Schizosaccharomyces pombe: one gene and its partners. Changing the gene in region 4 together with the main gene of any one other region gives a genetic interaction. Each region holds a gene or a part of one and is shown on either strand. Other genes may lie near its edges.

Region 1 (3,984 bases), 1.9 Mb from region 4:
TTTGGTTATGTATCCGATCTTAAGATATTTTTTAATTGGAAACTGTTTTTAGCAAAAGGGGAGGTACGGTTTGTGATTGAAGTAATGTTTGACATAACATGTGATTTCCCTAATTCTAGCTTGTTAACAAGATTTATTTAGTACTGGAGGGCAATAACTACATTCCTTTATGTTGGGCCTTTTGGATTAGAGTTGATTTTATATTTGTCGTTTCTACTTCGTTTCATGAGTATGTTAGAAAGATCTAGTCCGCCGCCTCAAACACAGAGCTTCTTAAAAACGGTATTGATAGTATGGTTTTCTCTTTTAGTTACCTCCTATTTTTCCTACATGCCATTTGCAGCTTCTTACTTTTCATTTACCATGTTATACATATGGTCGTGGAAACATCCACTGTACAGAATCTCGATACTAGGTCTTTTCGACGTAAAAGCACCTTATGTTCCATGGGTAATGGTATTATTGCGCTGGTTACGAACTGGGATCTTTCCACTGCTTGATTTAATTAGTGCTTTGATTGGACATGTATACTTCTTCGTTACAGATTTTTCTACAGTATGACGCCTGAAGAGAATAAGAAAAGAAAAAAAAGTAAATAAATACCACACTTGTTTTCTGATTGACTGCTGCCTATTGATTCCTTTTCTATCTTTACAAGTCGATTTCTATTGAGCTTGTGAAAGACTAGGGATGGCGAATAGTCACTGTCTTTTGTTTATCTAAAATGTTAGATGAATGATTTCCCTAATCAAGGGCACGAATAATATTACGAAAATTTCAGGAATTCGCAGGCGTTTCCTGGTTTGCCAAGCCATTCGAGCTTTTCTTGTTATTTCTTAAAACTAAGTAATAAATGTTTTATCTCATTAGTTTTTTTTTTTTTTTTTTTTTTTTTTTTTTTAAAAAAAAAATTGGGCTACAAGCTACTATTTGTATGTTTACTTTATGCGCGAGCAACATTATGATTTCTGAATAATCGCTATTTCCATTTTAAAAGTGTTGTATTTAAGATATAATGAAAATGTAAAGTATGTAAATTATATACTATATTATATGCGAGTATTTCAACATGGGCATGTGGTGTAGATGGTTATCACGCTTCCTTAGCATGGAAGAGGTCCCAGATTCGAGTTCTGGCTTGTCCAAAATTTTTGTTTTTAAATAATTTTATTATTTTACTTTATTTATTTTTTTTTTTTTTTAAACGACTATGTTCTAACTGCGTATTTATCGTCTTAAAACATCAGCAACATATTGCATACTCTTGAGAAATACCATTATCGTTCCTAGACTTACAAATGCAAGTGGATTAAAAAGAACAAAATGGGGGTACCAAATTAGTCCAAGTCTAAGAATAGCAATCTAGCGTAACCTCTAAGCCTTTGAGAACAAACCCGAGATGGAGGAATGTTAACCTTCTTTTTTCAATTTTTTATCTTTCTTATTTAATTTTTCATCTCATTTACTTATAATAGTTTTAAGATTAGATCTTGTATCGTAAAGTTGATTATTTTCGACTAATATATACCCACTTGCTCGATATCAAACATTCATGTCCAACCTCGTTGTACTTGTTGAATAGCGAGCCCCCGTAGTACTATTCCCCCACATAGTAAGTGTAAGAGATTCTTCCCGCCACAGTGATGTCCTTTCCGATCTGCCCTATCTACCTCTCACTAACCGAAGTGTATAAGCCACCTCTTTGTTTTTTGATAAAAACTTTAACGAAAAAGATAACTCGGTTTCCTATTGACTAATTAATAGCAGCCAACTAGATATCGCAATCAAAATCAGACCATTTTTTGGTACTTCTTATACGCTACCACCGGTCAATAGATTTTAAGCAAACACCTCAATGGACTACCTACTCAACTATGCTGACCAATATGCGCTGGATTCGATATACAATGCTGTATATCCATTAGCTCGCGACAATATCGTTAGACAGTCGATCAGTTTGTTTTTTTTAACTTGGTTTGGCGGTATGTTCTTGTATTTAACATTTGCGTCGCTTTCCTACCAATTTGTGTTTGATAAAAGTCTGATGGATCACCCAAAGTTCTTAAAAAACCAGGTGTTCATGGAAGTTCTAACGGCTTTACAAAACTTACCTGGTATGGCGTTATTGACGGTTCCGTGGTTTTTGGCTGAGTTGCATGGGTACAGCTACTTATACGACAACATCAGTGATTACGGTTTAAAATACTTCTTATGTTCCTTACCTCTTTTTGTCATGTTCTCAGATTTTGGCATTTACTGGGCTCATCGTTTCCTTCATCACCGTTATGTATACCCTCGTCTTCACAAACTCCATCATAAGTGGATTATCTGCACTCCATATGCATCCCATGCTTTCAAATCCGCTGATGGCTTCTTACAATCTCTTCCTTACCATCTTTTCCCCTTTTTCTTTCCCCTTCACAAGTTGACCTACTTGGCTCTTTTCACCTTTGTCAACTTCTGGTCCATCATGATTCACGATGGTAAATACATCTCCAACAACCCCATCATCAATGGTGCTGCTCACCATAATGGCCATCACATTTATTTCAACTACAATTACGGCCAATTCACCACCCTCTTTGATCGCCTCGGCAACTCTTTCCGGGCCCCCGATGAGGCATGGTTTGACAAAGATCTTCGCCAAAACGAGGATGTTCTTCGTGTCGAATTGATGGAGTACGAGGCTATTCGTAATGAAGTTGAAGGTGATGATGATAGAGAATACATCGCTAACTCTGCTAAGAAGAACCATTAAACAACATATCTAGACTCAGAAGAGTTTGTCTCTGAAAAGATTTTACTTTTTTTTTTCGTTTTCATCATTCCCATTTCATTTTTCCCCGTTGGTTTTACTCTTTTGGTCACGTATTTCTATTTCTATGGTTGGTATTACATGCATTATTTACCCGCTCTACCTTCAGTTGCTATAAAGGAACAATGTGAGCGATTTTATATATCCTTTGCAAACTTTTTGCTAATTTACATTTCGAGTCTCTTTAGCATTCCCAAGTTTGTTTTTTTTCGGTTTATTCTTTTAGAACGATAAATCCAGAAAATTTGGAAGTCTCGCATCTAGTCATTCACTCCTTTCTTTTCAAATGACTTGTTTTTTTTGCTTTGCAATTTCTTACCACCTCCCTTTTGAAACGTTGTTTGTTCAGTTGGGTTGATTGGTACTATCATCTCACAAATAATTTACTTCAAATACACTCGTTTTTGCTGTTCACGTCGTTGTAGTTGTTTGCTAGTTTCGTATACGAAATGAAAATTTTGCTCTTATCTTTACTTTTCTATTTTGAAATAAAATGAATGTCAAGCTTACACATGTCATCGACACTAATTTTGATTTGCAATAACTAGTAACTATTCGTTTGTAAACCACTGCTAATTAATCAAAAATTACCAGACTCCTTTCCATTTATTGACTTAGTATGTAATTAGATTTACATGTTTTTCTATTTCTATTTACATATTGATATCTAACGTTGCCAGATGATTTCCTAGAATTTTGTACCCTTTTGATGTTTGCTATATCTTAGGTAGTATTGAATCATAATATTACTTCGCCTCACCAGCTTCTTTCATGTAGTCTACGAAGCAAAAACTTAGTAATGACTCTACCAAAAGAATTTTTAATGAGGACAAAAAAATGAATTAAACAATAATAAAAACAAAACATTCTTTTGAAACCTAACCATAAAATATTAATTGAATCAATCACAAACATTTTACTAGTATAAGAATTATGATATATATGTATATATGAGATTCTGCAGTATACTTTCCAGAATGAAAGAATTACCGATTACATTTCTCATCCAATTAAAGTTTTAAAGTCGCTGAAAAACTTTCAGCAAACTAAGATGGTCTACTTATGACTCCTAAAATAACAATTAAGAAAATAATCGTGATCGAAAAAATTTAGTTCTCATCAAAACAAAATTCAGGTTTGATTTATTCAACACCAATAACGACAAAAAA
Region 2 (7,535 bases), 1.8 Mb from region 4:
ATAAAGTTGAACGAACATATGCAAGCTTTAAGATTGCTTCTGATTTAAGATCTGCATCCTGCGATGTCGCTTCTTTTCGACATTCTAGTAAACAAGTCGCAATAAATGCTTCCTCATCATTTGCATGAGATCTTATCCCTTTAATTAGGTCAATTAGTGTCCTTTCAAACACCATGACAATTTATAATTCAACAGTCAGTTAAATATATCCCAAAGCCGGCTTTATGCAGTTTGCTCTCTTAAGACTATATCGCAATGTATCCTTGACGAAAAGGAATTATCGAGCTGAAGCAGCAATCGTTAATTAGTTATATCGCGTAGCAGTGAATTAGCTAACGCAGTTGAGAAAAATAAATTGCAATGAGTTTTATTAATAATTATTGTAATTTGATATAAAGTATGTCTCCAAAGATAATCAGTGTTATTTTAATAGTAATAAACAATTTTGTTTAACTATAATTGAATATGATGCTAAAAGAACTTACGTTTCATAGTTCAAATAGTCCTGTTCATTTTTATTAAAAAAAAAAAGATAACTTAATAACAACGAGTGTATATTCGTAGCACAAACGTATGTTCATTCTATAGTTATAGTTATAAATTAACATCGCATTTAATAGCCCAGTAACATCGCTGATATCAATGAAAAACAAAGACAATATGTTTTAATCCAATACCCAGAATGAGAAATGCGACCTTTCTTGCTATATTAATTTCTAATATTTACATAGGTTTGTATTTAAAAAAGTGGTTATAATTAATACAACAGTACAATGTTAAATTAAGTATAAGTTTCCTGTAATTCGGACTCTAAGTGTTTGCACAATCTAACCAGTGAAAACCAACTAATGCTTCGTGCTTTGCTTTAATAACAGATGAATAATTGAACAGTATTGAGCGAAGGGGTACTTCAGGATTAACCATACATCACTGTCACCAATAAGTAGTACAGTATTGCCGTTTATTCTGTTTAAACCTGACCTATCAGCATCATTCTCTAAAATCAATTTTTTCATGTTCATGAATCCTCTGTGGTGAGCCGCTTTAAAGCCATTTTAAGACAATCTTTAATTTCTGCGGCATCAACTTGTTCTCCGCCGCTGCTAGCTTCAGTAGTGCGATTGATATTACCAACTAGCGGTACATCCAAACCTAGTTTGTCAAGCTGCTCATGTTTGGTCAATGAAAGATTTAAAATATGACCTTCAACAGTATCTTCCACAATGTAGTAGTAAACAAACGTCGGACGAGTTTGCCCAATTCGATGAACGCGTGAAATTGCTTGCATTTCAATTCCACTATTTAGTAATGGTTCACCTGTCAATGTTAAAACTTGTTAATACAGATATCGACGTACACATGAAAACGTGAGTGGCATTTGTTAACGTCAAACCAGATCTAATGAAGATTAGAACAAATAATTAAACAGTTTAAACATACGATTGCGATCTTGCATGTAAAGTAAGTACTTGTAAGCTACGTTCTTCTTTAAACCTTTTTAGGCAAGTGTTCTTTGACTTTCCATCAAAACGTATGAAGACGATACCATTCGCTTCAAATGACTTGTGCAAAACATCCAAAACATCAAGCCATTGAGAGAATACAACAACTTTAGGATAAAGTTCGTTATGTTTCAAATACTAAAGTTAGATCCACTCTAAATACAAATGTTGCTTACCAAAAGATGTTTAGATATTGTGTCAATTTTTGATCCAAATGACTCCTTTAACTCCATATTAGAAATTTGCCTGTATGCTTCATCGTCGAGAATTTCAAGCCTTTCGTCTCGTTTGTTGAAACCAGTGACAAACTCTTGACGAGAGTATATATCCCTACTTTCGCCAATATAGTAAGCATTATTTTTGTTCAATTTGGTTTTGCACATTGGACACGACGAACTATGCTTCAACCACGCTTCCAAACAAAAACTACAGTACAAATGGCCTAACAAGTTAACTAGATAAACGATCCAACAAATACTTACCACAAGTTGTTATAAAACCTTGCTTAATTATATCACGACAAATTATACAAATCTGATGAGATTCAGCTTTAAGGACAATATGTTCATATAGGTTTGTTAAATACCTTCTCCTTGATTCGAAGTGAGCAATTTTACGTTGGGTATTGCTTTTTTCCTCTTCTAGCTCTCGCAGCAGATGGATATGTCCAGGTATATTCATTTCGGATATTTTTTGATTGACGAGTTCTGCTACGTTTGTTGTTTGACTTGCTTCGTCCTGCTTTTCTGAAATTTCTTTTTCCAAAATCACCGAAGCTTTAATTATAACAGAGTTCAAAAATTTTTGTTTTTTTTCGTCGTCTTTAACGTAATTGTTTAAACTGATATTTGAAACGGGAGGAGGCATCAAAGAGTCAGAAATTTCCTGCAGCTGTTTATAGTACTCAATCCTTGAATTATAAGTCAACTGAATTATACTCAATTCTTTTTCCAATTTTTGGCAAATTCTAGATTGCTCCTTTGCCATTGCATCAATCCGTTCATATTCTTCCATGTTTTTAGAAGTTTCAAAACTTGAGGTGGATCTATTTGATGCATCTAACAGTCTTGAAACTATATTTATTAATGATCCGTATTGATCTGCTTTTGGCCTTGCTTCTTCCCTTTCCTCAAAGTAAAGCAAATATTTTTTATCACGTTCTTCAGCCTGCTTGTCTAACGATTTCTCCGATTTTTTTATACTCTCTATAAGTTTGTATTTCTCAAGTTCTGTTTCATGAGACACAAAGGTATTAATAGTACCGCTGACTGCCGCTACTCGATCTGAAAGCATTTGACGGTAAACATCAATACAATAGGATATCTCTGATTGCGCATTCAATGATTCTTCGTATTCATCGCCGGTCGGATCCGATTCTTGATCCAGAAGTGGAAGTTTCATCAAATGGATAAGCCGATCTCTAAATTTTATAAGCACCTCCTTTTGATCATTCAACTCTTTATAAAGTCTATTATAGTCTTCAATTATACCATGTCCGGTTATGAGACCTTTTGCGTAAGATTTCTGTAATCGTGGTATTTTGACAAGTTTCTTTGGAATAAATTTTTCTGAAAACTCTTCAAGGTGCTTGCTGGTTTTGATAATCACATCACTCATAATCTTCCTTCTTAAATCCTGCGCGAGCAAATAAAATTCATTTTCAAACTTTTCGTTTTTTAAAGAAAAATAAGCGCTTGCTATAAAAAAGTATATTTTATGCAATAGAACATACCAAACACGCAGATGAATGAAATGATCCAAACCAAAATAATTAATCGGTAAATTTTTACCATGGTCCTCATATTTAGAGTTGTAAATAACATTTTCTAATTCTTTGACAGCGAGCTCGACAGGTATTCTGACTTCAGACCAAATAGCCAATGCTTTATTATAGTCTTTAATATGATCATATATTTGACCAACAATAATCTTATCGGAATAAAGCTTCCTGTTTAACGAGGAGAATGTAGAGTTTGTTTGTTCCAACATAAAAACTAATACATCATTAATGCTTTTCATGGGTCCACCTCCAAATGCGGATTTGTTACCAAATCCAACCTGCGGATGGCAACATGCCTGTCGTAAACGAACCAACCAACGCCTCATAGATTCTTCGTCACACAAATCCAAATTTCTGTCTTTGAAAAAGTGCAAAGACTTGGCCGCCTCTGATAATAAATCCTGGTAGTTCGTTTCTTCTACTACACTAAGTCTTGTAGTCATGCAGATTCGATGTTGAGGAGGTAATTTTAATTCTTCTTCAACGTCCTGTTTAGAATGTCTGCATACAAGGGAGCCAAACAGATCGCAAAATTCACGAACACGTTTCTTCTCTATAATTTGCATCCAAGCTTGTTTTTTGTATAAATACATAGGGGAGTAGCGAAGAAGAAATAAAAGGCCAAAAAGGTCATCAACTTCACTACGTACGGGAGTTCCACTTACAGTCCAACAATTGACACGAGGTATGCGATAAATCATTTGTGCGACATTACTCTGTGAAGTTTCAACCATCTGAGCTTCATCAACACAAATTCTCCACCAACATACATCAATCAATGGAGACTTTGGAGAAACATGTCGCTTTTCATGTCTTAAGGTCCTGGAATGAGATTCAGTGTACAATAGCTCAAACCGTAAATCAGAATAAGATGTTACCACTATATCACAATCCAAAAAAATTTTAGCTGATTTCAAACCATTGGATTTTCGGATTCCTTGGTAATGGAATACTTTCAATGATGGCACATGCAAATCTATCTCAGATAACCATTGATCGAGAATTGTAGAAGGCGTAATTATTAGGGTGGCCTTGGAATACTTTACATTTTTTCCGACGACCTGATCGAAAGTACAAGTATCAGTCAAAGAAATTGGCAACTGATGATGCAAAACTAATCCTAAGACTTCCAAAGTTTTTCCCATGCCCATTTCATCGGCTAAAATGCCTCCACGTATATCACCGGACGCAAGCAAATATGTTTTTTCTTTCGAAAATGTCATATAGCCGTAAACATGATTAACGTAAACCATTCGATCATCAAAAAGACTTTTGCAATGGTACCATAGAGGTGGTAAATCATTTGAGGTTAGGAATTTCTCTTCTTCTCTTCGTTTCATCCATTCTAAAACACGCATTTGAAATGGTAAAAGTTCCGAAGAAAGCCTTGGATCGCGTGATACATTGGCGAAACGTAGGCTTTTTGCCAATTTTCTTGCACAATCGTAAAATAGTGCAGTGTTAATATCTAAACAAGAATATTCCTCATCTTCAGACGGAAGGAACGTATAGTCTAGTAAAGCAGTGTATGAGGAAGATGATCCAGATGAAAGAATCGCATCTTGAGGGGCAAGAAAAGAGTCGAGTATGGAAATGCCAAACGACAAAATTAACTCGGATCCTTTTACAGTAACATAAGATGTGTATTTTATAATTTTCTTCAGCCGCCTATTATCCTCCCAAAGCTTACTCCAAATTTTGAGAGGTGCTTTTAAAGCAGAGTAAGTATCCTTATTCAAGTCGACAGAAAACAAAGGAATCAAGTTTTTGGCCAATGAAATTTTTCTTTGAGTAAAACTATATGCATGTAGTTTCTCAGATCCATCAACCCAAAAAACGACAGGATAAATAGTAGACTTTAGCCGATTTAACTCGTCCTCTGGTCCACGCCATATCTGCTGGTCTAGCTTGAGTTGGTGCTGGAATGCACGGTAGCAATTGGCGAAATCACTTTCCAAAAGGTTGTTTCTTTCATTTAGTAAGGAAGCCTCCTTCTCTATTTTTCGCCTCTTAGTTCGGTCCATAATGTTCCCTCTCTTAATTAAATACAGTCGTGTTTTGAACCAATAGACTTAAAAATTTTAGAATGAATAGAATTCTTTAATGTACAAAGAAATAAACGAAAATATATAAACCCTCAAGAACACAAAAGGGTAGGCATTGTGTTATGTGCTTTTGTTCTTAGTTGTGGGCAAAAAGTGTCTTGATTAAAACATGTGCCACTTTTTTTTTGCTAAAGCTTGCAGAGTCGAATATTACTTTGGTATTTTTTCCCCACCTTTCTTCCCTCTTTTTTTTTTTGGTTTAAAAGTACGACAAGGTAAATATCGATAAATCGTTTGTAAGGGAATTCTATTATTCACGGTTGAATCAGTACAAACACGAATTAGAACTCAAAATTACCTAAGAAATAACATCTACGTTAATTAGTAAGTAAATTGTAAATACTATTAAAATTACCGATACACTTAATATCTCATTTGCTGGCTAAAAGAAAGAGCCCTTTTTACTCGGTATTGTACAAACACACTATTCCTTATTGCTAAAACACTGTGCTCATCCTTTAAGTATATATCGATTACCAAGTTTAATTCAATTAGCAAAAAAATATAAATTCTAAATAAAACGTAAACTGGTAGGAAAGTTTTTAAAAGTGATGTCACCTTCACTGGACAAAGATTATTGTTATTGTCATAAACTAAAGTACAAAATATAAACTAAAGATTGTATACATATTAAAGAAATATCCTAGTTTGAAGGATTCTTGTCGTCGCAAATATTGTTAAACCAAACTGCGTTTACCGTATTACATTGCAATTCGATTTGTTAGACTATTATGTCAATAAGACAAACGCTAAACTAAGGTTAATTCTACTAGTGTGTAATATTTTTTTATGTACGCACACATTGCAAAATTGAACTTACCCTTAACCAACAACACGATTGGGAATTAGCAGAAAACAGTGACAAGTGGGTAAGAAAAAGAATCTGGAAGGATAAACGCTCTTTTTGCGCGACCACCAAAAGTATATAAAAGTGCAAATTTCCGTCTACGTCTCCTATTTAAGACAATCTCTCGAATAAGGACTTTTTGATCAACAGCAGATTTCAAATCATTGATTGATTTGAAATAGTAAAATTATTGTAAAGCGAGCAGTTGACAAACAAAACGTTTGTTTAGCTTGTATCCGAAGAAAAATTATTCAACGATTCAATTTAGTGATCTCGGAATTTCTAGAAGAGAAAAAGCTTACTTACACGATGCCTGCTATTATGGAAAAGAATATGCTCGTCAGCGAGTCGTTGCGTACGACGGAATTACTTGGCCATGTTAAACCAATTGACTCAGTGGTGACATGGTCTTCGCCTGGATCGTCTCGCCAGGCGATTGGTGAGGCGTTTAAAAACACGATTGAGGAAATTGAGCGTGCAGCTGTCCGTGGTGAACCCGCTGACTCTGATGCATTTTTTGTTGCTGATTTGAACGGAGTATATCGCCAACTTCTTCGTTGGCATGCTAAATTACCTCGTGTTCAACCATTTTATGCAGTCAAATGTAATCCTGATCCTAAGGTACTTGCATTGCTTAATAAATTTGGAACTGGTTTTGACTGTGCTTCTAAGGGTGAACTCGAACAAATTCTTGGCTTAGGTGTATCCCCTGATCGAATTGTATACGCCAATCCTTGTAAAGCCATAACTTATGTGCGCTATGCTGCTTCTAAAGGCATTAATCTGATGACTTTTGATAATGCCGATGAGCTGTACAAGGTGAAACAACATCATCCCAACTCACGTCTTCTTCTTCGTATTTCTACCGATGATTCCAATAGTCTTTGCCGTCTCAGTCTAAAGTTTGGTGCTTCTCTCGATGATACTGGTAAGCTGCTAGACATCGCAAAGTCCCTGGAGTTAAATGTCGTCGGTGTTAGCTTTCACGTTGGGTCAGGAAGCTATGATCCCTCAGCATTTTTGGATGCTATCCAACGATCTCGTCAGGTATTTGATCAGGGACTTGAAAGGGGATTTAATTTTGACTTGTTGGACATTGGTGGTGGTTTCATGAATGACAGCTTTGATGGCGTAGCAGACCTTATTCGCTCTGCCTTGGATACTTATTTTGATCCCTCCATCCGTGTTATTTCTGAGCCCGGTCGCTTTTTCGTCTCTTCTTCGTTTACTTTGGCTGTCAATGTAATTGCCAAACGGAAGCTTGATGATGAAGAGAAGGTGATGTATTACGTAAACGATGG
Region 3 (5,427 bases), on a different chromosome or scaffold from region 4:
AAAGAAAGCATCAATGTTTCTTTACTTAAAAAGAGTTGAGCTAAAATACTGCAAGCCTTTAAACATGCCAAATAACACTCTGACACTGGAAAGCGATGCATTGCATCTTGTATAGATGATATTGAGATTTTCCAAACACAATACAGTTCATCGCTATCAATTTGCAAAATATTTGCTAACCCCGAAAACAATGAAATTAAAAAATTATTTACAAATAGAACTGGTCGCTTTGTAGATATACGGTGTAAGGCTGATAAAATGGCACTGTTCAGAGATATGAATTGTTGGGGACTTTCAAAGCCTCCATTTATCAAAAGTTCACAACATTTAAGGAACACCTCTCTTGGATTTCCGTTTTTGGCTAAGAAGTCCACAAACTCATCGGCCTCATTTTGTACTTTCCCAACATATGGAAGCACCATTCCTATAATGTCCCAGGAAATTTCGCGTGTTATATGGTCCTAATTGCAACATTATTAGGAGAATTCATATTTAATTACATGAATATTTTTACTTACATTCTTTTCTTGCTTCAATTCTTCATGTAGACACTTAATCAACTCTCGCTGCTCATCAATATCCTTTATTCGCGCTTCTTCCAATATCAATTCGAGTAGCGTTGAGTAGGTAATATAATCTTTGGTTTCAATGGCTACCTTGGCGGCACCTGGAATCGCTTCTTTCCAGTCCATTCTTCTTATGAATATTAAGGTGTGAGGTAAACGGACGAAAGATAATTTACGAGGCAGACTATATCAGAATTAAATGATTTTAAGATTATATTGTTCTACAAAAGATTTGAAAATATTAAAGGAATTCGAAGCAAGCTCATAAAAACTTAAATCACTGTTAACGTTCACGCTTCAAAAAATGCCAGAATCAATTAGCAAGCGTTGTAAGGCTTGATCTTCAGATTCACGTGGTTCTACAGTTAAACTTCTTTGATAGATGTTATTCGTGTTTCGCTCTCTCGATATAACTTCATTAAGAAGCTCTTGAACTTCGTTGATGGGATTAAACATGTACCCAACAGATTGAAACTTTTTTATCTCATTCAAAATTCTAGTGACTTTGGTGCGCTTATCGAAATTGATCATGTTTTGAAAGTTATCTTTATTTCCAGTTTTAAGGAAAGTCAGATCAGTGAAGTAAACACCTAAGAAAGGGACACATGGCAAGACACAGTTCTCCAGACAATCTCTATAATTACTGAAATTTTTCCTTGCCTCTGTCAAATTGTTTAGAAGCTCAAAACTAGCCAATGTTTTACTATTCAAATTTGCCCATGTCTTACGCAGCCGATGAATGGGTGAGGAATTTAACGCAGAAATGATGGAAAATAAACTAGCAAAATTGTTAAGCTCTCTCAAATAATCACAGACCTGAATAAAATATGCTAGCACATTGGTACGTCTGCGAGGTTCTTCTTCTTGCACGATGGTTTCGGTCACAAAGTTAACCAGATGATTCGACAAATAAAAGGTCGAAGTTTTTTCTTTGGGTGAGAATCTGTTAAGATTGTCCCAGATTTTAGTTAGGAACTGAATCCTTGATATGTGTGAAAATGATTGAAACTCTAAGATACATAACTGCTTTGCAATTTCACGAGGAGGTAGAAGTAAAACCAATTCATCCTTATATATAATTGGATCAGGGGAATTATGGAGAGAAAGATCCTCTAATTCTTGGGATAGCTCTTTTCCCTCTAGCATTTTATGTGATCTTTTTGTAGAGGGATGATGAAGTAGGTGTGATAAAGAATGCAATAATTCTTCAGCAGATGCAAAATGTGGAACTACAAAGACTTCAAAAACTTTATAAATTTTAAACAAAAAGAATATTGACTTGGAATTGTCCAACTCTTCAACAAGATACGATTCGAACCAAATAAGAAGTATATCCAAAAACCTCTTACTAACTCGGTAAAATTCGTGAGAAATAAAAGAAATTTTTCCAAAATTTAATGAGCAGATGAACCGAAAATGTGCTCCAAGTATGGAAAATAAATCTGAAGAACTGATCATACTAGCGTATGTGTTTAAAAAGATAGTAGTAAAAAATGTACTATCTATATCTGTCCTTAGAAGGTAATTTATAATGAACACTAAAGTGGCTGTTTTTATTTTTCCATCTTGTTCAATTTTACCATTACATGACCAAAATGAAAACAAAAGGTTTCGGATCAATAATGGCTCTGGTGAAGTCTGTTTCATTAAATAACAAACTAATCCTTTAGAGTCGAACCAGTTGGTTTTATTGAGGTCAAAACCATCAAGTTGGGACTTCTCCGCATCATTCAATTCTGGTTGGATATTTGTGAGGAATTTGTATTCTAGAGAAAGAAACACAATTCTTTCTGAAAATTGAACAATTATTGACTTGATCCGAAGAAGGGATACTTTCAAGGTTACTAGTAAATCAACAAAAAGGGAATAATTGTCCAGTAAACAATCGCTAGGTGAGATTTGCTCCAAGTCGATACTCCACAAATATAAATCACATAAGTTAGAAGACAGTTCATCCTTCAAGGCTTCAACATCTTGAGAAGTGAAAGAAAAAGGGTTATTTTCAGAGGAAGAATAATTTATTCTTTGATTTGCAGACAAGAATCGCCTACAACATTGAATGCATCTATCGATGTCCTCTAGAATATCTAGTTTCCAAGCTTCTAGTGCATCTTCCGCAACTAGCTGTAGTACTTTTTGGGTTGTATTTTCAGTTAGCTTCTGTGCTTCTAAATTCCAAAATTCATTCTCAGTGCAATGGTAAGCTTCGTGTGAAAGTGACAAAATTGCAACAAAGGAAGTAATATCAGGTTGGAGATTTGTATGTGCTGATTGTACAGAATTGGAACAGAGCATATTAAAATCCCATGGCAAGAAATGTATTTCATGCGCTATCAAAGAGCCCAAAAAGTAAGAAGGGAAGGAAACATCGGGCCTGAAGAAAAACAAAAACTTATTAGCCAATTGCTTCAAAAGCTTAGTAAATCTGATGCAAAGTTCACCATAAGTGCAACCCATTCGGCTCAACTCTGGCAATAAATTTAATGAGGAGAACACTTGCGCGACTTCTGAGAGAAAATTTTCATCTAATGTAGAAAGGATTATCAAGGGAAATGAAAGAACCATACTACGAACAGTTTCAATTCCAAAAACGATCACTTGAGTGCCTTCCTTTTTTATAGATTGTGACACAGCGGCAGCGGTGGTGAGAATCCCTTTTACAAGGTGGTGAATGTCATTTTGAAGATTTTTTCTTAAGAACTCTTCTGAAGAAGGGATACTATTTATCGCTTGCACTCCGTGTTTCTCAAACCATGCAGAATCTTGAAGATGAGCCTCTACGTGAAACGGCGCACAACATTGAGCATTTGGGTCTTTCTCATTCGATGAATGAAAACTTGAAAAAAAATTTTGAATTTTTGAAGAATCAATGCACGACGTGGGGAACCAACCTCGTTTTTCTGAGCAAATTCCGTCGCACCAACCGTCCTCGAGCACTTCTATAACTATGATAGTGTCTCCTGCAGAAAATTTTAAAAATGAAGGATTAGAGCTGTTCTCATAATCACTTATTGCGGTCGTTTGAAACCTCATTTTCGTAAGGGTCCATGAATGCTATCAATTCCACGATTCATTTATTTTTGAAAGAAAAGAGGAAATATACCTTCTTAAGTTATTTCAGTATTTTCCTGCTTTTAAAATAAAGAAAACACCCGTTTATTTAAAAAAAAAGCTTGTTTTCCCATTATTAGCCATTTTGGGAATTTCTTTGTTTACTAACAATGGGCTACTACAATAGAAATTACCTGTGAATTTGGCGCGTCGCGTTTTGTCACTACGCAACTGTAATATTACATACAGTATTTCACTAGACTATGTTGTCAATCACTTTCACAATGGACTCACCTAAAACCTGTGGGTATGCGACTATTCCGCAATACAGTAATACTTCGTTGTTTTCACTATTCAACCCTATCCTTCGCTATTCAATAAATACAGAAAGAAAAATGTTCTTCCTGAAAAATAAAACAGATTGTCCTTCTGGTAGCGTTTTTCTAAAAAAAAAAGTTGAATTCTTTTCTATTGATCCAAACTTGATGACTATTGTTAAAGGAATAGACCAGTGAATTTAAAAGCTTTTGCGACTATCCTTGACCGATTCATTTTAGGCAGTAAAAATACGCAAAAAAATTTTATGTATCGCTATATTTAAATACCGTATGTCATGATAGTCGACTCCACTTTATTATAGTGTATTGCAATTATTTCGTTATAGTACCAATATAATACGGCAATTTAATACGCTATACACATCATGCCCACCTATAAACTGCCCATGACATAGGGTTCACCGAATTCACCGACAAGTTCAACAAATGTTTTTTCCCACGGATGTAATCGTGCCAATTGCCATTAACCAGCTTCAATTGAGCTAGTTCTATGAATTGAGCTGTTAGGTGGAATTCTCCAATTATAAAAGATATTGTAGTAGTTCATGAAGTGTTTGAAGCGGATTTTAGTTGGAACTTACAAAAATTAAAGGATAACTCTATCCATAGGTCCTGTTGAGACTTGTTACGTAAAATTAGAAAAGATTGGAAATTGTATTGTAATTTGTGAATTTACCATTGTTTGCCTAATATGACTGCACTATTTAATTTCTGGCGCATTATGTATGCGAATATTTCGTCCATTTGGCTACTGGTGGTTTCATTTTTTGAATGGTTATTTTCCGCTACGTCGATATCGCAGCAGCGTGGTTCCGGCCCTCGAAAGGGAAAGGTAGTTATGAACAAGGATTGTCGTTCTTGGGAGGATTGGAAAGTTTTGGCTACGACGATTGACAAGGCGTCGGGGCGTTGGAAATGGCGCTTTACTCCTGCCTCGGACAAGTACGACTATCTATTGATTGATCGATGCACGGTCTCCTTAAAACGATACCGCCAGAGGAAATCTGTCTATCCCATGTTAATGTTCTTGCGCTCTAGCTTACTTCGTAACTTTGGCAACATTGGCAATTCCTCTCTGTATACCGAGAATTACTCGGGTACAAAAATTTTGATTGAAGAGTATGTACGTGAGGTCAACAATTGTTTAGAGTTTTTATATCACACTAAAAGGCTTTCCTACGACGTTAAGTGCGATTTTTTTTCCGCTGCCCGAATTTCCTTCGGTACTACCTGTTTGTATTTCAACGGCGGCACTGCGTTTGGTCTATATCACTTTGGGGTAGCTAAGACCCTTTGGAAACGTAATTTGCTTCCTCAAATCCTTGCAGGATGCGCATCAGGTGCGTTGATTGCATCGCTTTTGAGTGTCTATCGTGATGAAGAATTGAATGGTTTGTTTGATACTTTCCCCAGCGAACTGTGGAAAATATGTCAGCAAACATCTGACTATTCTCTTTCAAAAGTTGTGGAGT
Region 4 (3,279 bases):
AATCCATCACAAGTGGTTATCTCATTTAGCAAATGCAAATTGAGACGACGACAGCTAAAAGACCATTGCCCGGTATGACCATCAGTACTTTTGAAATAAACAGAAATCGGAGCATGTCGTCGGTTGACATACCACGTACCGCATCGTTCATTTACAACAGGTTTAAATGTGGGGTACGAAGCTATAACTGAGTCGACAAACTTGGCATCGTGTGCAATTGACAGCAACCGATTCTTTCTTGAAATTAGTGTTAGCCAAATTTTCCATTCGATGACATACAAATAAAAGAAAAGCAAGGCAAAAAGGAAAAACAAGTAAAAATCAGCAAAAATATATATCAGTACGAAATCCAACAAATGGCGATTAGGCTAAAAATTTTTCATGAAAATTTAATAGCAGCTATCCATCGTTTTTTCTTACAATTTGCATTAATTGCTTGTGCGTTTATAAAGGTAGCAATCATTTTCTAAGTCTTTTGATTCTGCCAGCTTATTTGTATAGCAAATTGAGACTTACGGGTGTCTTGCTTGAACATGAATTTGTTGCACAGCGTCTAAAGGGTCGAATTCGTCCATTCGTTTGGCAGATCACTTCTGTGAGAACTAGAAGTTGAGATATTTGAAGTGGTGGCAGTCACGGCAGAGGGAAGTGTTCGTATAGAATGGTGCTCCGGGCAGTACGGATTGGAATGGAGAGTACTACTTTTCGAATTTGTTTCTTTTGTATGAAAAACGAGACTCAAAAACCCCATATTGCGAAGGCTGGCAACGTATAAATTATGTTGGGTTGCAAAGTCCAGGATGTACAAATCGATCGCCCCAATTCTTTTACGATGAATACTGCCAAATACGAACTCCGAGATATAAATCGTTAAAACAGATAGAATTCCATCTAATAGATTTCCAATTGACCATGGACAGAAGGCTTCTCTCAGTTTCTCGTTTAATGTGTGAATGAATACATCCCAATCCTCAAGATTCACATAAGCTCGAAGAGGTACAGGATAATCGGTTGGAAATTGAGGATATTTATCTCCTGAAACCGAATAATCCCTTTCAATGCGAACAAGCATCGAAAAAACCTACTGAAATGAAGCTTGGTGGATTCCCTAGCTCTAGGTTCAAGTGTACAATATTAGAAGACGGATTAGAGAATATGTATAATGAAACTGGGATTCGGTAGAGCACAAGAAAAAAAATAAATAAACAGGAAAGTTATAAGTTAAACAACGTTAAAAATGACTAAAAAATTATAAAACACTCATGAGTTCATCGATTGATCATATAACCGGAACTAAACAAACAAACGTATTAAATGTCAGAATTGAGTGATTAATTGAGTGAATAGCTGTAAAATGGGCAATGATAACTCATTTTAAAAAATCATTATGATTAATTGAGTGAGTTTCAGATTTGAAACAAAAACCACACAGTTTGTCACTAGGTAATTTGAACGGATTTATAGTGAAAATTAAGATTGATAAAAGGATGTGGTTTTAGTTGTTGAGGAATTGAAAATTAATAAAACGTATTGCTCGTTCAGGAAGAGGATAAAAGCTCTCTACAGGATATATTTCATCTACGATAAAAGTTACTTAGAATGAACTGGAAAAACTACTTGGGAAAATAAATGTAATAAAATATAAAAAATATTCGACTGTATATTATATGAGCATTGACTCATATTACTTTAGTCGTTAGATGAGATAAAACTTTGACAACGAATGCGGGCTTTTTTGAAGTCCTTGCTCAGTCCAAGAAGAGCGTCTTAAATCAAGTTCAATAAACTTTTTTAGCTGCAAGGGAAGTTAGGTTGCTTTAAAGTACTCAGCTATCTAAAACTCATTGTGCTTGCTATTAAGTTAAGCGTTAAAGATCCTATTAGGCTTAATATCGTCTGCGTTCTATACGACTTGAAGCTTACTCGCTTCTAAAAGGAATATTCGTTTAAATAAAAGAAACATGCTAAATATATATCTATAGATTCTTACAACCAACTTTTCTTATCCATTTATGCAAGTTGAATTCATGATTTGAAGAAATTCCAAGAAAGACGATTAAAAAAGAACCCTCCTTTACGAAGATGAAAATTTAGTTTCTCATGATACCCATAACATAACTGTTTAAAGGAAATATGTATCGCATTACACTGTTTTGTTTTTTTTTTCCATAGGTAAACAATAGAAAAAGTGTTACCTGTCTCGAGTCACAGAAAATTCGTATGATCTACAATCGCAACCCCAAACTACTTACCATCTACCACCTAATCATTGAAAATTAAAAGATTGCTCTGCGATTGGTAATTGCTAGCATTTGTGATTCACCACTCCGTCTTTACCTATATTTAACTATACTTTGTCAATTTCCCCCTGTTTGATACTTTTTAATTGTTTTACTTATCCAGGATGTCTGAAACGTTCAAGCTTCCCGATCATGACGAACTTCCCCAGCTAGTTCAAACTACTCTTTTTGATGTTGGAGCCAGAGTGTAAGTTTAATCCAATTTTTTACTTTTAAACGTTGAATTATCCAAAATGCTGATTGTTCTGCTATCTTTTTTTGTAAGAGACAGGGCTTAAAGGTCTAAGTACTTTTTTGAAAACTTATAATACAATTGTACTGCAGCACGGCATTTGATGATTTAACTCTTTTTTAGTCTTTTTGTATAATAACTAACAATCATTTAGTCGCAAAGGTACGTGAATCAAATTTAAAAAAAAAAAATGAGTGGATTTGTTTATTAATACCTTAATCAAAAATTTCTATAAAGCACTCTTTCTTCATGTTTATACTTTTAATGGAAAACTGTTTTTATAGAAACTACTTCCTTTCTACCTTTTTTCCTGTTTAGATGAAAGCAGTTTTTACTAACTTTAGCAGCTGTTCAAACTGGTTACAAATTTGACCAACAACTTTTCCCTTCTTACCACAAGGATCAAACTGATAGAAATGAGCTTCCTCAGCAAAAACATGATCCTAATCTTCGTCTCGATGATTTGAAGCAAGAATTGGCTGCTGATTCTATTTTCTGGGATACCGCCTCCACTCAAGAAATCGCCGATTCTTTTGCCAAGCCTGATTTTCTCAAGTCTCATTAAATGAATAAATGAGCAAGATAAAGCTTTCGATACTATTGGGTAATATGTATATTTTCAATAGCATAAATCTTTGTTATTGAGATGAACTATTACTCAAAACTATGAAATTGAATTGAAGATAAAGATTTACTTAATTTATTTCTTCGACTTTGCTTTCTAGTTTTTGCTTGCTTATTGTAGTA

What was found.
Region 1: mutations in erf4 (region 4) and erg31 together harm fitness more than expected from each alone (negative genetic interaction), as found in Schizosaccharomyces pombe (one large-scale study listed by BioGRID).
Region 2: mutations in erf4 (region 4) and irc20 together harm fitness less than expected from each alone (positive genetic interaction), as found in Schizosaccharomyces pombe (one large-scale study listed by BioGRID).
Region 3: mutations in erf4 (region 4) and ste6 together harm fitness more than expected from each alone (negative genetic interaction), as found in Schizosaccharomyces pombe (one large-scale study listed by BioGRID).

The regions. Positions count from the first base shown.
Region 1 is NC_003424.3:931,826-935,809, reverse strand, and holds erg31 (C-5 sterol desaturase Erg31), read left to right. Parts: upstream 1-1,841; 5' UTR 1,842-1,855; coding exon 1,856-2,758; 3' UTR 2,759-3,385; downstream 3,386-3,984. Other genes in the region: SPOM_SPAC1687.17C (Der1 family protein), read left to right, coding at 1-63, 142-561. UniProt on the Schizosaccharomyces pombe protein: C-5 sterol desaturase; part of the third module of ergosterol biosynthesis pathway that includes by the late steps of the pathway. Erg31 and erg32 catalyze the introduction of a C-5 double bond in the B ring to produce 5-dehydroepisterol.
Region 2 is NC_003424.3:4,657,027-4,664,561, reverse strand, and holds irc20 (ATP-dependent DNA helicase), read right to left. Parts: upstream 5,466-7,535; 5' UTR 5,307-5,465; coding exon 1,985-5,306; intron 1,966-1,984; exon of another isoform or gene 1,945-1,965; coding exon 1,679-1,944; intron 1,641-1,678; coding exon 1,441-1,640; intron 1,399-1,440; coding exon 1,358-1,398; intron 1,318-1,357; coding exon 1,019-1,317; 3' UTR 719-1,018; downstream 1-718. Other genes in the region: AP-3 adaptor complex subunit Apl5, read right to left, coding at 17-175; ornithine decarboxylase Spe1, read left to right, coding at 6,544-7,535.
Region 3 is NC_003421.2:1,764,258-1,769,684, reverse strand, and holds ste6 (RasGEF Ste6), read right to left. Parts: upstream 3,600-5,427; coding exon 864-3,599; 3' UTR 714-863; downstream 1-713. Other genes in the region: ubiquitin-protein transferase inhibitor Glm2, read right to left, coding at 1-461, 519-692; triacylglycerol lipase Ptl1, read left to right, coding at 4,647-5,427.
Region 4 is NC_003424.3:2,828,113-2,831,391, forward strand, and holds erf4 (palmitoyltransferase complex subunit Erf4), read right to left. Parts: upstream 1,073-3,279; coding exon 554-1,072; downstream 1-553. Other genes in the region: rit1 (initiator methionine tRNA 2'-O-ribosyl phosphate transferase), read right to left, coding at 1-237, 517-575; spd2 (ribonucleotide reductase (RNR) inhibitor family), read left to right, coding at 2,405-2,487, 2,687-2,694, 2,880-3,097. UniProt on the Schizosaccharomyces pombe protein: The erf2-erf4 complex is a palmitoyltransferase with a major role in driving sexual development. Palmitoylates ras1. Palmitoylates isp3. Palmitoylates rho3.